Neodiprion lecontei: one gene and its partner. The protein of the gene in region 1 interacts with the protein of each later gene in a biochemical or structural test. Links are inferred from orthologs where the notes say so. Each region holds a gene or a part of one and is shown on either strand. Other genes may lie near its edges. The genes, in order: bromodomain adjacent to zinc finger domain protein 1A and chromatin-remodeling complex ATPase chain Iswi.

Region 1 (9,745 bases):
ACACCCAATGGTTTTTTAAGATATTTCGGTTCAATTGCGTGCGATATTTGTAAGATAGCGCAGGCTAATTGTTTGATGGCAATTTGCTGATTCGGATCTGGCACAGGTTCGTCTTCAAACGGTGGTCCTAGATATCTTCCTGGATCCCGATAAATTTTAACACCGCTGCTACTGATTTCAGAATCCGGGGTCCCGGGTCTGCTCACCCTGTTCTCATTCTTTATTTTATCCAGGACAAGATTCGACGCAGTGTCTGCCTCAATGTCGTTCAATCCGTAAACCAACTTGTCGCACTGTTTATCATAACCACGCTTGTTTATCGCCGTTCTCCAGACCTCTCGGCTGATGACTTTCAAGGATCCCAGACATCCAACTTTGATTTTATCCTCTAGGTCGAGTATATAGTCCCGTAACGTTAATTCTAGTACCTCCTCAATGTTGGTACCCGGTGGGAAAGTCAGATTAACATTATCGTACTTATTTTTCCTGTGATTCTTATTCGTCGGCTCTTTGATCGGCTCCATATACTGAGAGAGAACAAAAAAAGGACAGAATAAAAAGATGGACATAGATAAATTCCACAAAAAATCAAGTTTTTCATTTTTAATTGGCAAAAAATGTAGGTACTGACCACTTCGGGATTTAACTTGTGTCGGGGACATTCGGCAATGACTGTCGTTAAGCTCGTTGCTTCTTGAATCAAAGTCTGTCTGAGTTCACCTTCTCTGATTCCCCTCTTATTTAACGCATTAATTACACTGTCAATGCTTTCTTGCAAGCCGTAAAAACTCCACTGCGGTCTAGCCGTGACACAATGGATGGGGCAAGTTTGATCTCCTGTACATACGTTCAAGTTTTGTCTAATATCACTGAAATCTACCTTTACTTCTTTCTTAGGACTAAGATCTTTTCGCGGTGATTTTAATCCGTTTTTGTCAGAAAAGGCAACTTTTTTCGGAGACTTCTTCAGCTCCTTAATACTGTTTTCTTTATCGCTGGATTCGTCTTTAAATTTCTTCTTCAAATACGCATACATCGCCTCTCCGGACTCATCTTGAAGCTCCGGTTTGTAGGGAGTACCCCCGGGCAGACAAGCACCCGGCCATCTTTCATCGTTCTCCACAAATAAACCTAGAGTTTGAATGAATATAGCGATTAGGATCCATGAAAGGAATAAGAAATTAAAAATGTGTCAGACGTTATGCACATCAAAGACAATTCCGTACCTGGTATAGATAGGAACCTCCAGTACCTCCTATGTGCCCTATCCGAGCCTAGATAAAGCATCATTTGATCATCTCGAGATGCGGTCTGTAGTTCTTTCAGCTTGTTTTCGTATTCCCCCTTCTTTTTTTCGTCCTCGTAATTTCCTCTCGTTATTTTCTTAGGTTTCTGCTCTTCCTCCTCTACTCTTCCCTCTTTCTCTCTCTCCTTCATTCTCTCCCTCTCTTCCTTTTCTTTCTTTTGCTCAGCTATCAGGAATAACTTGAGTTTCTTCTTTGCTTGATGCAGTTTGTCGTATCTTTCATCGATCACGTCGCGAATAGATGCAAACGTAAGCAACTGATTAATCAAACAACTGACAACCTTCAGTCGATCATCCAATTCGAATTCGCAGACATTCATGTGGCCCAGAGTTCGAAGTATATGCGCCTCCTTCATTCTCAAGAGCAGTACTGGATCGTCATGATTTGTATAGCCACCTAAAATTCAATTTATTCCATCATATAACAGGTTGGCATGAAATTAATCATTCAACGGGAATTTCAGATGCCTACAGCCCATTAACCATTCGACTGTATTCATTTTATTGGCAATAGCTATCAAAAATAGGTGTGCATCGAGATAAACGAATAATTGGTTACCTCTTTGAGAATAGCGCCACTTAGATGCCACGTCGCTTATCCTACCGCCAGAACTCAAGAGATGCTGTCGTAAAATTTCACTCAATGTAACGTAATCCAAAGTCAGCTCGGATAATTGACACCCATGGTGCGTTTGACACCAAGATGAGGCTATTGTGGCTAATTTCACGGCTTCGGCCATAGATGAAACCCCATGGTCTATATTTCTATCGTCAGTTAGATTAGCAGCATCCGCGTGGATCTCATCTTCTTCTTCGGCTTGAAATTTAAAAATGTTTGCAAGCAAAAGTTGCAAGAGGTCACTCCAAGGTCCTGCAACTTCTTTCTCTAACAGAGCTTTCTCCATCAAGTCCAAGTTCACTCCACCTGGAAAGTAACTGCCAACTTCTAACTCTTCATAGAAATATTGTAGAAATTCCAATATCATGACGAAGTCGCCAAATTTGTCATTGGGAATGAAACATTTAACAGGGGTCGGATCTGGAATTTGTCGGAGATCTTCACATTCTAAGTCTTCTCTGGGTTTATTCCACTCCTTCACATAAGCTGCAAGCTTTTGTTTTTCTTCCTTCTTACGACCCCGTTCTTCGAGCCTCGCTTCTTTCAGGCGAGCTTTTTCTTCCAGAGCTTTAGCTTTCAGATCTTCTTTAAATTTACCATTCATCCTGCACAGACAATTAACTGTGATAAATTTGTAAGGTATCACGAAAGTGAAACTCCAGTTGATTGTTATCATAAAAGTGAGGAAAAAAAAAATATCTGGAAATTCATACAAGTCCTCAACGTTTCAACTTACTTTTGTTTCTTTGATTTCTTGCCGATTATTCCGCTGTCGTTTATTTTCTTCAAGGGATCTGGCTTATCAAAGACCCTATGTTTCGCTATATCTGGAGTAAGAAACTTCGCTATAGACTCCTGCTTGTGCTTGATAGGTTTCTTGAGACGTGGAGAAAAGTCTGGCATGGGTCCAGCAAATATCGTATCGAATCGAGTCTTATGAATGCCATACTTTTGTAAGACATTCTCCTGCAACAAGCAAACCAAAACATGTAGGCAGAACAAATACTGTATGCCAACCGTAATGTCCAGTTGATGCTGAGTCAATTTTTCTACAGGCTTAATACAAATCTATTTGTAGAATTATGAGTCAGCTTGTTCCAATTATCTGACGCCAATTCGAGGTTTCATTCACAAATATCTGTCACAAAGTCATTGCATTAGATGAAACGTCGTTTGACATTCTTGGTTGAGTTTATAGATATTCTGTCAACGACTATTGAACCTCTCTAGTAATAAATAAATCAACAAGCGAATTCAAATATTACACAGAATGAAGCAAATTGAACAGATTACCTTGACCATCCATATGCCAGTCTCGCCTTGCTCGCAGAGTTGTCGCAAGAATATCTTATTCCTTTCTCTGCTGTAGTGTTGTTTGCGTCGTCGCACCTGTGAAGCCTCAACTATCATGAGCTGGCTAACGTCTGTGTCACCTCCGCAATCAAACTGCTCCACTTCGTAGCGAAATAATTTTGCCGGAGGTTGATACTGTCTTTCCAGCATGCTTCTTTGTGTAAATGGTTAAAAGAAGAGACAAGGAGATAAGAAGACACCTAGTTAGGTCAAGAACGACAAGCCATTGCCCAAACCGAGATTTGACAAATACCTGTTATTTTCTTTTACGTAAGAATTAATCTGTTGCTTGGTAGGCTCGATGACCTGTAAAACGTGACACTCGCACCAGGCATCTTCGGTAAAACTGGCCTCGACCATTTCTCCTACAAAGTATCTGTCTCGTGCGAATTGATAAACATCCTCGACCATTTCATTAAGTGAAGTCCTGTTTGTTTTGCTCGCCAGGTATAAGATTGGAATTCGCAACTGCAATCAAGACCCAAACGTAATTTAAACCTCAGACACTGTTATCGAGATTCTGGTAATAATCTAAAACCAGGTTACGTAATGCAATACAATGCATTATGCGGCGAAGTCAAGATCAATTGTCAGATAAACAATTTTCAATTACTAGGTTATGTTGCAGTTATTTGTAAAACGTGTATAATCACAGACTGGATTTCCTCCGTTCGAGGCACATCTTTCATCGGAATATCATTATCAAGCTTCTATGTTCACACGAAAAGAAACACTCGGATTTAGTAAAGTCGTGGGGGTGTAAGAGAAAAAAAAAACCTAGCGATCGTGACTGAAAAAAAGTGGAATCTTGGGGCTTCGAAGAAGTTCGTTGCTGCCCAAGCAAAGGTATGTTAGAAGAATGTGTATGTTGCATTTGATGTGTATTACCTCCATGGGAAATTCCTTGAGACTCTTTCTCGCATTTTCCTCGCTGAGCAATGCCTCTTGGTAAGTGAAATTCGGCTTTCCTGTGATACTACAGGACCAGACGAGTGAGTTGCAGAGAATAATTCTTTCGCAGAATTCACTGAAAAGCAGGAGAAGACGTCGGAGACGTTACAGAACAAAATGCGGCGAGTGCGTTTGTCCGTAGGTGAAAATGATCGAGCTGTCAAACACTAACTTGTAATCTTTGAAGATCTCGTTGGTCGCCTCGCAGTGGAAAACCTCGTCGTCGTCGCGGAAATCGGAGGAGACGTGCAACTTGTGAAAAAGCTTCTTGCGTAGGAGAGGCATGACGACGCTGGCGCGAGCTGACCCGACTTGTTAATTCGTCACGAAACACTCTCTCCGCAGAAATCAATCTCAAGTGATCTACGTTCTGGCCGATTATACACGTCCCGCAGCCCCGCTTCGGCCGCCCGTCGCCCTTAAATCTCCACTTGGACGCACAACCGTCTTGCCGAGGACGCTACGCAACCCTCTAACTATCCTCGGGGATGACGAATAAGCGATTTTTCAATAAAAATGTACAAATTCATGACAAGGCGCGATTTAACGGTGTCTCGGAAAGCGCGCACACCTGGCAAGACTCACCGGATACCGCGTTTTGCGTCTGCGTCCCTCTTGAAACCGAAACGCCTGGGGGCCATTTGGCGGGAGAGACCATGGAGCACGAACTCAATGGGTGAATTGACAAAACTTGTCATAGTAATCGTTCACGTCAGGTTTGTTTTTTGTACCACTAGCGTCGCCAGCGTCCCTTTTGTACCGAATTGTCTCTGGCTGCAAGGATGCTAATTGTAAGATCGAATGATCGGTGATCTTGCGTTGTGATCTGTAGAAAGTTTTCACTACTGCCTTATAATCCGTCCAATACCTTCGGTGCATACGGAACATCAGTGCCATCTTACTTCAGGCAGCTATTTGGTTGCATGGACTTCGTGCTCCTTGTATAGTCCCCATGGGAGAAACGCTCTGCTATAATCATGGAGAATAAAATTTCGGCAACAATCGACCACCTTGTTTCTCATCTTTGACACTACGCGTACCGTGCAGTTTACGAATTAATTGTACAATACAGGCTTACAGAGATGGATCTCGAATAAGAGCAGAATAAACGGAAATTCACATTTCATGGATCTATATTTATACACAGATTCAACGCGAATTTCGATGTCAAAACTTCACTCCAACCATTCCTTGATGTAGTGACATTTCTTTGGCGTTATTTCTCCCACGTCGCAGCAGTTTTTTCTCACCTGAAAGCAAAATACAGTATACCTCAAAGATGCTCAACGATCATTCGTCGCTTCTCGTTTATTATACAACATTAAATATACCGGACAAACACCGCAAGGTGTTCTAATTAATCCTGGAGGGCTGAGCAACGGTTCGACCGCTCGGTACAAGTTGCTTCCGTCGCTTGACAGAGTTCTTTCCACTTTGCCGTCGTAGATAAGGGTATTCAAAATCATTTCCAGATCCTCCACGGAAAGCTTAACCTGCAATATTATCGTTTCATTTATTTAGTCAAAGTATTATCGAGGAGTAACAGCAAAAAGTTAGTGAAAGGTATCCCGTTGCCGTACCTTGCTTATTCCCAGATCGGAAATGAATTTCCAAACTTCTTTCGACGACGCAAAAGCTATATTTCTTGCACCGATAGGACCGTCCTTGCAGTTTTTTGTACTGTCTTTTTTTTGCTCCAAAAATCTGTAACACTGCTGGTTTAGAATATCGACGAATTCTGCCTCAAAGTCTTGATCCTGGTACCACGCGCCTCCGGTCACAGATCTGTCAGGCTCCAAGTTGTAAAGCATATATACCTTCTTCTTGCTAGCCGCTACCGACTTTACAGCTTTAATGAACTTCTTAGTTTCCAAACTTTTTAAAATTTTATTCAGCTGCGTCGGCATTAAATTGGATTTGAACCTGATGTCGCGTATCCATATCCCCTTGTTCCCAGCCTCTTCGATTATATTATAAACAACTTTCTCCTCGTTGTCTGCCCCTTTAACCGATTTAGCCTTGCTCGGATCTTTCAAACGGTAAAGAAGAGTTCCACCCTGCTTGAATAAGTCAAAGTATCCCTGAGCCAATAGCTTGTTTATCGCTGCCGCCTTCCGCGCCGGTGCCAGATCTGGAATCTCAGCAGATATGTCTTTATCCGAGATGCCCTTCGGCTTTGCTTGAGCCAAGGAGATAATCCTGAAATCAAAGCTGTACCTCTTACACTGTTGCACAAAAAATCTCGTTTAACAGGTTCCCTTCAATTTCATTATACAAAGTTAGAAAACTATGGAGCTTTGAAAGCGTAACAAACATTTGCTGCTATATCCGGTCTATTTGACAGTTAATTGTTATCTATTTATTACGTTATTAACGGTCTGTTTGACAGTTATTTGACAATTAATCTTAAAGCATCATACTTTTCTTCGATAAATTCTGGCGATTCACCCACATCGACAATTCTATTTATTTCTCGCTCACTAGAGAATTCTCCTCTGACATCCATTAGTATTTGATAATTAATCGTTGACTCAAAATCTTACGAACGAATTAGAAGCAATGCAATGAATTGCCATCGAACCTTGCAACGAACACGTGTGGCTGCGGCGACGAACCCACGTGACGTACGCCCCCTGTAGGAAAAGGGCTTACTATTGCCACTGATTTGGTAAAATACACAAGTCACGTGAACGATTTGTTCATGATAATCAATTTATTTCATTTACAGGAATTGAGGGGATAGCTAAAATCCGAGACTCAGTACTCTCGACATTTCGCCCACGTTGGACGCTCCATGCTATTCCTATTTTCATTTTTGTTCAATTAATAAATTCATAACTATTTTGAATTTTATGTGGAGAAATGCATGTTGCATGCTTGGGCATTATCAGGCGTTCTTGGTGTACGTTTGGTTGCATGTAATTGGGCGCTTTATAAAACACCTTTAATTACGCATATAATCAGGCGTAATGTCGTACAAACAAGTACCAACAGTTGCATTTAATTGATTATTAAACACTTTGCTCTTCTCTTTCCGAATAACAAAGAGGAACTACCCTACAATTACTACTTTACTCCCGCTTACACAGTTTGCAAATTTTTGATAAATTATGTAATATGCGTACATCGAATGAATAATCGTACAGATTGTGTCAGATCCCGGGACTTATGTGACACTGTCAAGTGATTGGAAACATAACCTTGAAATGGATGACTGTGAGGAAATTGAGCATTCAGTAGAGCTTTCCGAAAGAAATTGGAATCGAGTTATAAATAGAGCAATTAAGGTAAGAATTCTCTGGTAGTGAAATGACGAGAATTTCAATCAACATTACTTGATCACAGTCCATCAACTTTCTCAGGCCGGTTATAGGGAAGGAGTTGAAGAAGGAAAGAAATCAGTTTTCCAAGAAGGTTTTGACATCGGTTACAAAGACGCTTTCGAAACTGCCTTCGTATTAGGAAAATACAAGGGGCTGGCAACAGCCATGAGTAACGACTCTCAAACTCTACCAGCTACAGATGATGTACTTGAAAAGACAAGGCGAGGGGCTTGCTACGTCTGCAATGAAAGTACGAAGAGCAAAGTAAAGACAGATGATTTCGTTAAAATGCCGCTGCAGGATATAAGAAATGGTCAGAAGAAATATTCTACAAGGATACTAGAGACGCTGCAGCATCAATTTGACGAATTGACAAGCAAACACGTAACATGTATCAACAATGCAGTTTTGTAGCATTATGTCCTGTACCTGTAAAGTTAACCCAATCAATTAATAGTTGACAAAAGTTGGTTGAGTTAAAGAAAATTTATTTATTCGAATTTCGTATTATTACGATTGATAAAAAATACAAGGGAAAGCGAAAAATTAAATTATAAATATAATCCTTCAGGCGATCCTTCCTTCTTGCGGTACAACACACTCTCCTTGGATTTCTTGAAGTCGTCGCTGGTTACCTTCATACGGCGCTCTCGTAAAGCCATGAGACCAGCTTCGGTACAGATCGCCTATGGGAAAAGTTAACTATAACTTTCCATTTTTACCCATACAAAGAATCTTACTTTTACTGCAAAATAATCACCTTTATGTCAGCTCCGGATAGGTCATCTTTAGCCATGATGAGATCTGCCAGGTTTACATCTGGTGCCAATGTCATTCTACTTGTGTGAATGCTAAAGATTCTCCTCTTGGTTTTTTCATCTGGCAGGGGAAACTCGATCTTTCTATCGATACGTCCGGGTCGAATTAGTGCCGGATCCAAAGTTTCGATTCTATTAGTTGCCATCACTACTTTGACATCTCCACGACTGTCAAAGCCTGTCCATTTGAATAATTGATTCACATTAGCACTTTTGCACATAGTGCCGATAAGCGGTAAAACATCAGCACATCATCAAGCACTTGAAGATACAAATAGTTATTTTACTGACTCTCTGTCAGTATGGAGACAAAATCTTTTACTCACCGTCAAGTTGGTTTAGTAGCTCCAGCATAGTACGCTGGATTTCTCTTTCGCCTCCACTGTTGCTGTCATATCGTTTTGTACCAACAGCGTCAATTTCATCTATGAATACGATAGAAGGAGCATGTTCCTCAGCAACTCTGAATAGCTCTCTGACAAGTTTCGGGCCATCCCCTAGATACTTCTGGATCAATTCTGAACCAACAACACGCAGGAAAGTCGCAGATGTCTGATTGGCCACTGCTTTGGCCAGAAGAGTTTTACCCGTTCCCGGTAAACCGTAGAGTATAACACCCTTGGGGGGCTTGATTCCCATCTCTTCGTAATATTCCGGATGAGTGAGGGGCAATTCGACCGACTCTTTGATTTCCTGAATTTGTGTATCCAAACCTGGGAAAGAAATATGATGTCAGTGCATGCTTCTGAGAAGATATATGATACGTCGCTTGAAAAATACAAAAGCTCACCTCCGATATCGGCGTATGTTTCTTGCGGGGCTTTCTCGAGCTTCATCACTGTTACCATCGGATCCGTGTCATCGCCAAGGACGCCAACAACGGCGTGCACCTTGTGATTCAATAAAACAGAACATCCTGGCTCCAGCTGATCTTTGTCAACGAATGACAAAATCGACACGTAATGCTCGGACCCTACAGATGTAGAAACAATGGCGTGATTGTCGTCAATTATTTCCTCCAATGTCCCAACCGACATCGGCGTTCCTCTAAGATCGTCGACCTTGGATCTCTCCTCTTCATTTTTCTCTTCCTGCGGCTTAAGTCGCTCCTGATTTCTAATGAACTCCTCCTCCATCAACAAGTAATCCTTGATTCTTTCATACTTCAAGAGCTTCAGGCGACACCTGGTGTGGGGCGTGACTTGGGGCAATTTTGTCGCAGCGTCCGGTCCCTTGGTTCGTCGTTTCTTCTTTCCTACGCGCGTAGGAATTGGGGGCTCGTACTTCTTCTTCTTGTCTTTGTCATCCTTCTTGTCCCCTCCCGTACCTCCTGTTCCCGACTGATTCTGACCCTAATTTTAGAGCAAAAAGACAC
Region 2 (11,288 bases), on another chromosome or scaffold:
GCTGGCAGAAATCCAGTTTCTAAATTCTTGTGATTACACGTGGAATGAATCTCAACGTAGACTCCTTGTGAAGAAGATTCTGTGATGATACATTTGACAGTTTCACCAACACGTAATTTATTACTAGGATTCTTCTGTATGCCAATCAAGCTCAGGCTCATTTTATTATCTTTTTTATCTATTGTCACAATTGTTGCAGGAACTACTTGGCCGATCGAAAATTTCTGCTTAATCTCAGTTTTTTTGCAGCCAAGCAAATTCGGAGGGGCCCAGCCCTTCAAGTCTCCGAAAAATTTTATCAAAAGTCCAGTATTTTTTACTTGCACAATGGTACCATGATGCTGGGAACCAACAGCTGCATCCTTAATATTATTTAAGATTGGTAAATTGCTATTAACTAATGACTGCTTCATTGTGAATAAAACTCTATTTCGTTGGTCGTCACGGTTTAAAGCTCTTACTTTCACCGACTGGCCGACTTTGAGTTCATATATCATATTCTTATCAATATCAGAAACATGTTCAGGGGGCACGTACCCTTTACTTTTATTAACTTTCAATGTGACAGATCCATAAGCTACATCAATTTTTGTTACTTCTGCAGTCACCAGTTCTCCAGGAGCAAAACTAGTAGCCGTAAAATATTCTTCGTTCAATATATTCTTTTCCATACTGCAAATATAGACTCTGTCGAAGCAATCGTAATTCAATACTCGACACTTATGTTTAGACTTGGGTTTAAATGTGGAATTAATCTTCTCGAAGTCAACTTCGGTTCTTCGCATGGGTATATAACCCCTGAACTTTTTTTGCAATTCTAGGAGAATCCCTTTTTGCTCCTTGCACATTACTGTGGCGTTTGTTATAATATCACCAATGTTCAATTTTTCAGTTTCACTTTCTTCCGTCAACAGACTGAAATATGCAAATTTTACAGTTGGCAGAACATACAAGAGCGTACCATGGACCGATTCATCTGTCTCATACGAAGATAATGGATTATCCAAGTAAATCTGATTGATGTAACCGATGTTACTTTCATTATACAGCACCTGCAATCCATTTGACAGAACGCTTTTGATAGTGAGAACCAATTTTGTTCCAGGTACTAGAGCATCTAATAACTGTGTATCCTGAGAAACTGCTTTGCTGCTGTGTTTTTCTTTTGCAGATAACTTGAGTGTCGATGCTGACTCCGACGTTTCAACCGTTTTAATTGCCAAAAAGAGTTGCTGTCCTATAACTTAGAAGAAATTAATTACTTTTCAACTAAGAATCACAAAATGGGGAATTTTTAATTTTTGTATTGATTTTCACACTAGTTTATGGTACTGAGATGAAACGTGCGAATCGGTCTTGTATATATACAAGACCGCATTCTGTTACTTTTGCACTAATTGATTTGTCAATTTCAGAATTCAATATCCGTTCAAGCTTGTTCAAAATTGTGACAAATAATAAATAAAAAGTGACAGGATTCCAACTTACAGTATTCTTTTTCTTCATCAACATCTTTAGAAGTTAAAAAAGCTCTGACATTAGCAACCCCAGTGTCAATGATATAGCCATGTTCTTCAATACTGGATACAGTGCCAACAATCTTCGATTTTGGGATGATCCGAGTGCGATCCAGATTTTGATTTATTAGTTCTGGTTCCAGGGACAAAGAGACTCTCCACTTCTCTGTCAAGTGCAGTTGCTTGACATAACAGACCAAGTAGTCACCAGGTTTGAATAACTCTGTCAGTGGTTTATAACCCTCAGGTTTGTCATCTTGTACGCTGATCATACTTTGCAATAACTTTGTGTACGAATTGCTGATGTCTGTAAGCTCCAATCGACCGATTAATCGTCCAGGAAGCGATACAATCAAGTCATAATCCCTGGCCTCTCGAATACGACCCAGGACAACCATTCCTTGTGTTAACGTAGTATAATTCAAACAGTCCGCTGATGTTGCCAATATATTTGTGGTATGCAAATCTGCATAATTAGTAATGGCAAAATTATCCTTGTGGATTCTTAGTTTTGATCTTGGCTTTTTTTTCAATTCCTATAAACATACATCAAGTTTTGGCGATATGAGCATTACAGGGGAGGGCAGGGGTGATAAACTGAAAAAACTTACATTATTTGCGTGTACATTTTTTAGGGGTTTGCGGCCTCCGCGTGGAAAATTTTTTAACGTCATCTGTAACTTAATTTTAAGGTTAGACACATGAATTCTATTTTGCCCTAAACAGTTAATATGTTTGTACGGAATGCAAATAAAATATAATAAAAACAATCACAATTCCGAGCAATAGTGCCTACTTTTTATTTCTTCGGGTTAACGTATCTATAAAATATGTGTTCAAATAACACACGCACGGATTTTCCCAAGTCCGAACATTCAACTCACACTGGATGCTTAATTTTAGGTTATGTCGGTTTCGGCAGCGTCGGCTGCATGCATACGAGGAAAGGTTCGCGCATGGTCAACTTAACTCCGTGGGTGCGTTCCAAAACCTAACCCTAGAGTTGAGTTAAGTTGAGTTGGGTTCATAAGGGTACAATCAGCTGATTCTCAAGACGCGCAAATATTTAAATTAAAAATGGGGGTTATCGTTGCGAAGGAAATTGCAGCGGGAGTATATGATTTGATGGCGAACTCTGAGAGTTCTTGATCTGAAGACAATGATGATGATTTAGTGCTTGAAGCAATATTCCATTCCGAACTCATCAATGACCCCCCTGCGAGAATTCGCAATTACCTAGATATTATTTCGCAATACTCGCATACAGATTTCAAAAGGCATTTTTGCTTATCTCGAACAACGGTAGAATATTTGCACCAAAGTATTGGACACCAATTGGAAAACTAAAACACAGGTCAGTTCGCAAACAGCTACATTACATCTAACATGCAAGTTACTTTGTGCAAGTGCAACACTAGGGCGTTCCCATACTCGACTACTATCGAATTTCAATCTTGGCGCAAAAACACTGAACCCATCTCCATCTAACCCTGCTCTAGGCAGGGTTCATTTCAATTAGCTCGGAGTCACCCGGAGTTGCCACCTCGCAAGTTTCGGAACTATCAGAGTTTACGACCTATATTTAGACTTACAGGTTTGGAACGCGTAGAGTTGGCCAGAGTTGACTACAGTTGGGTTTGGAACGCACCCCTTGCTTAAGCTGTTTTTAAATATGTGTCAGGCAGGGATTATATAAACGTAATGGATGATGATTCATAAATGAGTGAATTACTTCACACTTTGTACATAAATAATGTTGAATATTTTATTTGCTAAATATTCTATCAACAATTAATTAACTATACAAGTTTCTACGATAATATTTTGCTTTACACATACATAATATTACTATGTACATGGATATAAATTATGTGTATATCGCATAGATACGCATATATTTTTCAAATTCATAAATAGCTACACTATCAATAACAGTCCTTTGGATTCATTTACTGCAATAAAATGAGGTAAGCCAGTTACAGATGTGATATGACTTATGTAAAGTTAATACACTAACAGACACTGTGGATAGCTGTAAATACTTTAAATAATTATGAGCATTGAATCAAAATGCCAAAAGTAATTTTAATTGCTTCTTTCGCTTTTCAGAGCCAAGTTAACTAATATTACATGTACCTTCACTGAAAAAATGTTTGTTGGCGTACCTATAAGTTGGTCGAATTTTCTAAAGCTTTTGGACCCATTGGATCTTGTATGGAATCATTAGCATTAAAATCAAGATTTGCAGGTGGGATGAGCGCAGCTGCAACAAATCTTCCTTCAGCATTAAGGAAATTGAATATAGGACAAGCTTGGCATGTTGGAACGATCTCCATGTTCATTTTGAATTTTTTGGCAAACAGAGCCAGCTTCTTGTCAACTTTAATGTTACTATGAGGGTCACCAGTTCCAATTACTAAAATGTCTGGTTTTGGATCAAGAATAGTAAATAGCGACAGAGTTTCCTCGTTGACATCATCTATAGTATTAACCTTCCAACTCAGTACGCTTCTTGGAAATATTGCAAGTGATCCAATGATACTAATGCCATTGTTTAAACGAAATCCAATCTACAACAAGAATTTTGTTAAGCTCTGTATTGGTACAAACGTTAATTTTATCCAAAAAACAAAGAAATATAATAGCTATACCTTGCTGTAGGAATTTATCATGAGTCCATAGACTTCGTCCCTGTTAAGAATAGATATCGTCGTTTTTCCATCACCTTCGTAAGCACTTTTGCAAATGATTGATGAACTATGAATTTTCCTATAACAATTGATCGGTATTGGTAAGAATAATTTACAAAAGACGTGCAAATACAAAATATAATAAAAATCATTCACACATTTGAATTCGAGTAACTCACCTAATAGTTTGTCTCATGTTTGCCGAAATTATACGGCTAAATATGAAGGTAGTCGTCATCGTTTGCAGGTACAAAAAACACTCTTACGAAAAAATTGATAATTTATTTTCATGAAGTTTGAGGTTACATTGAATTTGAAATTGTATCTTAAGGTTATTTAAGGTTACGTTCTTGGACTTTGGGAGGTTATAGGAACCTACCGGTTTCGACGGACGCGTAAAGTGACGTCATTGGTCTTTTTCGTTCGCTAATCTCGAACTAATACTACTAAAGCCACTCGGCGGTGCGAGTCGCGCCAGTCCACTATCCAGTGAAGAGATCTGTGTTTCCGTTAGATCGGCCTAAAATCCGGTGTGGACACGGCTGAAAGCTTCATTATTCTGCTTCACGCCGTACATGCAACGCTGCAAAGGTCTACCATTTCACTCACGTTGTGTATATACTTTTGAAAGTCGAAATAAAGCTCGACCTGCTACAGTTTGTGGCAATTTGAAGACTACCACTAGTCATTAGAGTTACGTGCGATGGTTTAGTACTAATCATTTAATTACTGGCTGGTCAAGCTGACAGTGATTGCGGACATAAGTTAGTTTTGGAGGGAGTTGAAGCGTTAAAATGGCGATGAGCCTTTGGTTGATTCGTCGGTGAACACGGCATACTACACACAATACCGGTGAATAATCTGGCGTTGGGTAGGCGCTTCAAGTATTTTATTGAATAAATCAAGCAAGAAATTGACCTCAGCGACGAAAAATGTCCAAGCCGGAGACGGAAAATGCCGACGCTGTCGAAACGGGGGAGAATTCAAACGGATCGTCAGCAGAAACAACATCTTCTAGGGGTGGCGATTTCGAAACCAAACTGGAGACCGACAGGAGCAAGAGGTTTGATTACCTACTAAAACAGACCGAAATTTTTTCTCATTTTATGACGAATAATCAGAAAGACAAAAGTGTCAGTCCTCTTAAAGTTAAAGCTGGGAGACCTAGGAAGCAGCCCGAGATTCCTGTCAAAGGTGACACGTCGGCTGATCTCAGACATCGAAAAACAGAGCAAGAAGAAGATGAAGAGCTCCTTGCTGAGAGCAATGTCAGTGTTGCGCCAACGACTCGTTTCGAGTCATCCCCCCATTATATAAAATCAGGAGAGCTGAGGGACTACCAGATTCGTGGTCTTAACTGGATGATTTCGCTCTATGAGAATGGAATCAACGGTATACTGGCAGATGAAATGGGTCTTGGAAAAACCCTTCAGACGATTTCATTGCTAGGATACATGAAGCATTTCCGCAGCATTCCAGGACCTCACATTGTAATTGTCCCAAAGTCAACGCTAGCCAACTGGATGAATGAATTTAAGAAATGGTGTCCCTCGCTGAGAGCTGTTTGTCTGATTGGAGACGCTGAGACAAGGAACACGTTCATCAGAGACGTAATGATGCCAGGGGAGTGGGATGTCTGCGTAACGTCTTATGAAATGGTAATAAAGGAGAAATCAGTATTCAAAAAGTTTAACTGGAGGTATATGGTAATCGATGAGGCTCATAGGATAAAAAATGAGAAATCAAAGTTATCAGAAATTTTGCGCGAGTTTAAGACTGCCAATAGACTTTTACTCACCGGCACACCGTTACAAAATAATCTTCACGAGCTATGGTCACTCTTAAACTTCTTATTACCAGACGTGTTCAACAGCTCAGACGACTTTGACTCCTGGTTCAACACCAACAGTTTTCTTGGAGATAATTCTTTGGTTGAAAGGCTGCATGCTGTCTTAAGACCATTCCTTCTTAGACGCCTCAAGGCTGAAGTAGAGAAGGGACTTAAGCCTAAAAAAGAAATCAAAGTTTACATTGGACTGAGTAAAATGCAGAGGGAATGGTATACCAAAGTGCTAATGAAGGATATCGACATTGTAAACGGTGCTGGAAAAATTGAAAAAATGAGATTACAAAACATTCTTATGCAGCTACGAAAGTGCTGCAATCATCCATATTTGTTTGACGGAGCTGAGCCGGGCCCTCCGTATACCACTGACGAACATTTAGTTTATAATTGTGGAAAGATGGTGATCCTTGATAAACTACTGCCAAAATTGAAGCAGCAAGACTCGAGGATATTAATATTTAGTCAAATGACTAGGATGCTTGATATTCTTGAAGATTATTGCCATTGGAGAAGTTTTCAATATTGCCGATTGGATGGTAACACGGCTCATGAAGATCGACAGCGGCAAATAAATGAATATAATGCTCCCGGGAGCGAAAAGTTCATTTTCATGTTATCCACAAGAGCAGGAGGTCTTGGTATTAATTTAGCTACGGCTGACGTAGTTATTATTTATGATTCTGATTGGAATCCTCAAATGGATCTGCAAGCTATGGATCGAGCACATCGAATCGGCCAACAGAAACAAGTGCGAGTGTTCAGGTTCATAACTGAGAATACAGTAGAGGAAAAGATTGTCGAACGTGCCGAGGTCAAGTTGCGCTTGGATAAACTTGTTATTCAGCAGGGCAGACTAGTAGATGCGAAACAAACAGCTTTGAACAAGGATGAGATGCTCAACATGATTAGACATGGTGCTAATGAAGTATTTGCTTCTAAAGACAGTGCCATAACGGATGAAGATATTGATACGATACTTCAGAAAGGAGAAGCTAAAACAGAGGAAATGAAACAGAAGTTGGAAAATTTGGGTGAATCATCCTTGAGAAATTTTACAGTAGATGCACCGACCGATTCAGTCTACCAATTTGAAGGTGAGGATTATAGGGAGAAGCAGAAAATATTAGGTATAGGCAACTGGATTGAGCCGCCTAAACGCGAGAGAAAGGCAAATTATGCAGTCGATGCTTACTTCAGAGAAGCGCTAAGAGTCTCAGAGCCAAAAGCTCCAAAGGCACCAAGACCTCCGAAACAACCAATTGTTCAAGATTTCCAATTTTTTCCGCCACGATTGTTTGAGCTACTCGATCAAGAAATATATTACTTCAGACAAACAGTTGGGTACAAAGTACCAAAAAACCCTGAACTTGGATCTGACGCAGGAAGGATTCAAAAGGAAGAGCAGCGAAAAATTGACGAAGCTCAGCCACTTACAGACGAGGAATTGACAGAGAAAGAAAAACTGCTTACTCAGGGATTCACAAACTGGACGAAGAGGGATTTCAACCAATTCATAAAGGCTAATGAAAAATATGGTCGAGATGACATTGAGAATATTGCCAAAGATGTTGAAGGAAAATCTCCTGAAGAAGTAATGGAGTATTCTGCTGTCTTTTGGGAACGTTGCCACGAACTTCAAGACATTGACAGAGTAATGGCTCAGATAGAGCGAGGAGAAGCAAAAATTCAGAGACGTGCCGGTATAAAGAAAGCTCTGGATGCAAAAATGGCCAGATATAGAGCACCATTCCATCAGCTAAGAATAGCCTATGGAACAAACAAGGGAAAAAATTATACCGAAGAAGAGGACAGATTCCTTGTATGCATGTTGCATAAACTTGGATTTGACAAAGAAAATGTATACGAAGAACTCAGAGCAACCGTAAGATCTGCACCACAATTTCGCTTCGATTGGTTTGTCAAGTCAAGAACAGCTCTAGAACTCCAACGAAGATGTAACACTTTGATAACGCTAATTGAACGTGAAAATCTAGAGCTTGAAGAAAGAGAGAGACAAGAGAGACGAAAGAAGGGTGGAAGTATTGGATCAAAACCAGCGTCCAAACGGAAGCAAGAGAATCTTCCAGCACCTCAAGATAAACCTAGGAAGAAGAAGAAGTAAATGTACTTTTCATGAACTATGCAACACAATTTCAGTTTATCTAAATTTTAATAAGTTCCAATATCACTTTAAGTTTATTACAGTGGCTGAACTCACGTCGGACACAGGTTGTTCAGGTTAAAATAATTCGACATTATAATCTTTAGGGTCATCTATTATCAAACCACTGTAAACATAAATTAAAAAAATTTTAATTTTTTAACTGCACGTTAATTAAATCTTATAAAATAACTTCTATTAATTGTGTCGTTATGTGAAGTGAGGGGCACCAATTATACAAATTCAATACATTCTTCTAGACAACCTATTTACTTGTCACAAATAACTTGTTTGCCTGTAAAAAGAAGCGATAAACAGCAAATTTCATTTATATGAAGAACACCTTCTTTCCGTGAAGTCTTACGTAATGTTTAGAAGTAACGTCTTTTCTAACTAGAACAGTACATTGTCACACACGTTTGGAACCATAGTTATTTATGAAATATGCATGTAAAACAAAGAAATGCTCTAATTGTTAACGCTGAAAGATTTAATTAAACATCAATCATATTTACAACATTGTCAAATTCAGTGTTCTCTGTACTCTCACTTAGAATTAATTTACTTGGTAAAACTTGGGGATTTGATTCACGATTGATTGGTACGAAGAATTTTGTTTACTATCACGTTTATTGGATTTAAGAATTCTTATCGAGGAGCAGAGTAAATAAAAAGTATGAAATAAGATACATATGTATTATTTAATTTATATCCTAAATTATTTCACAATTTATAATATTTCTATAATTACATATATAATACATATATGTATAATAGTAACAAATATCTTGCAGTGAACACACGTCATTCGTACGTAGCGTAAATACTTGAGAACTATTAAATTATCCTCGTAATCGTCTTCATATAAATATAATAAAAATGAACTGTTTGATTTAAAGAAAGCATAATTTTGTAATACATATCGACAAATCAATTGCATTTTTTACGATCAAGATTTTATCTGTAATTATCTGTGTGCAAAACATAAAAATTGAATATTTAAATGTACCGTCTCTACTGCCAAAATATCTCATCCTATACAAGCATATTAGAGATTATTACGGTAATTATGATACTACCCTACATAATCGTACAGAAATAAATGAATATAGTATGCACATAGAATGTGTGACCAGGTATAATACATATATAGGTGAATCCTATATACCTATAAATGCGTTTACACATACTATGAATACGAATACGTATGTTTTTGACAGTAGTTATAATTGTGATAATTACGCGAGTAATCTTTTATGCAATCTTATATTACGCATTTATTTCACACGTGTACGTAATAAATACCGCATTAGCGGTGCGAGATTTGTACATTATTTGTACAAATCTTGAAACTCTCACTCCTTCTCTAAATTGTTTGTATACCGTTCTATAAAACAGTAGATATTACAATTAAAATTGATTATTCATTTCATTCACTTCAGATCATCCCAATATCATCTCATGTAGAATTCTATCAAACTACACACCCATAGTTTTCATTTAGTTATGGCAAGGGCCGGCCCTTCTCGCAATATATTTAAAATATTGAAAGACATCGCATGAAAAGCTAATTACAACAGAATCTGAAAGTACTGGGTATTCAGAAATTTCTAAATTCACCAAGTAGAATAGTGTGATTAATCCCAGATATTGATATGCATAGCACTTCTAATTCATTGAAGCACGTAAGTATTACAACATGTCCAAATTTATCTTTCACGTATCTCTTTATTCATCACTGACAATGAGCTATTTCAGATTGGTCATTTTCAGGTTCTGTTGCACTTTAGTATGTCTAATAACGAAAGAAAAACATTTTCTTAATTCATAAACAACTTGATATAATATCTTCTCAACACATCCGATTACTAGGCTTCACAGTGCTTCATGAGAATGAGGGGGTAGTAAGGTTCCAATATTTTTTCATAGTACTAATCAACTCGGGCAAAAGTAGTTATACACTAGGGTGTCCGTTATTTTTATCGTTTTTTTTTTTTTTTTTATCAAAAGTTTGAATGTAAAATACATTGATATTTTCGAAGATTTTTTTTTTTTCATAAACTCAAATGAACTGAAAAAATCTATCCGATGCTTGAGAACAACGTTTCGATTTCCAACTAAACGTAGGAATGAAATAATTTCGGTGAGTGCACATATTCTATAGAGAAGGACACTCAATAAAACCGTAATAGTTATGGTTTTGTGAAGTATAAGAGAGTTTTGAGATTCCATGTGTATTTTTATGTTCCTATGTTGAAAGTATAAACATTGCTCAAACATCAAACTAATTTTGTCAGTACATTCTAGTTTGTGAAAAAAAGTAAGTAACTGGCAAAAGTAGTGGGATTTTAGGGAAAAATGGACTGCTTTAGGGTACATTTAGGAAAGCCTTCAGGTTTACAGTGTTTATAGGAGAAGCAAAGAAAATAGGATACCTTTAGGGAACTAGGCGAACACTGTGTAGCCTGGATTACGGAAAAACGTCATTTAAATTAAGAAAAATTAAAAGTAAATAAACCGTCACACGATTACAATTAAAAATCTAAATTTCTCATTGTGTTTTAACTGTGTTTGCTTTTTTTTCGCCGTTAAACATTATACATATATCAGTGTCAATACATTTCGAGATAAACCATTTCTATATATTACGTGAGATGCCTAGCGTTCAATATAATGTAATGTTAGTATTTTCGAATGACCATCATATCGTGGATTATCTATAGTTCAAAATTCATTTAAGAATTAATAATAACAATAGTAATACTGGTACAACGTGTGGTACGGTAAGCGAAATTTTTTCTTTTAGTCTAAATACATGATACGCATTTCATTGCTCACCTAATACCTACACCGACATCTTGGATCTGACAATTTCTTCCATATTCCAACATGTAACGACACCCAAAACGTCAATGTATACCTACTTTATAAATAAATCAGCAAGCTATCTCTTGACAGCCAAGAAGTATTTAAATTTAACAGATAAAATTCGAAATTATAAAATTGTATGTTGGGGCCTGATAAAATTCGTTTCAAGTAATCTCAACACAATGTCAATTAGTAAAAGACAGTAA

What was found.
Region 2: the proteins of bromodomain adjacent to zinc finger domain protein 1A (region 1) and chromatin-remodeling complex ATPase chain Iswi form a complex in vitro, tested with the Drosophila melanogaster proteins (3 studies listed by BioGRID). The link is inferred for Neodiprion lecontei from reciprocal best matches to the Drosophila melanogaster genes Acf and Iswi.

Annotation. Positions count from the first base shown.
Region 1 is NC_060266.1:591,865-601,609, reverse strand, and holds the start of bromodomain adjacent to zinc finger domain protein 1A, read right to left. Parts: upstream 4,851-9,745; 5' UTR 4,515-4,850; coding exon 4,402-4,514; intron 4,306-4,401; coding exon 4,167-4,305; intron 3,747-4,166; coding exon 3,532-3,746; intron 3,433-3,531; coding exon 3,219-3,432; intron 2,892-3,218; coding exon 2,662-2,891; intron 2,531-2,661; coding exon 1,866-2,530; intron 1,704-1,865; coding exon 1,227-1,703; intron 1,132-1,226; coding exon 632-1,131; intron 528-631; coding exon 1-527. Other genes in the region: probable DNA-directed RNA polymerase III subunit RPC6, read right to left, coding at 5,405-5,479, 5,561-5,722, 5,810-6,428, 6,650-6,735; uncharacterized protein LOC107216885, read left to right, coding at 7,436-7,516, 7,592-7,966; 26S proteasome regulatory subunit 4, read right to left, coding at 8,104-8,238, 8,313-8,548, 8,697-9,083, 9,161-9,722.
Region 2 is NC_060263.1:31,592,076-31,603,363, forward strand, and holds chromatin-remodeling complex ATPase chain Iswi, read left to right. Parts: upstream 1-4,781; 5' UTR 4,782-5,139; coding exon 5,140-8,175; 3' UTR 8,176-8,903; downstream 8,904-11,288. Other genes in the region: protein RRP5 homolog, read right to left, coding at 1-1,243, 1,489-2,053, 2,129-2,191; NADH dehydrogenase [ubiquinone] 1 alpha subcomplex assembly factor 3, read right to left, coding at 3,683-4,087, 4,169-4,286, 4,387-4,468, 4,587-4,617.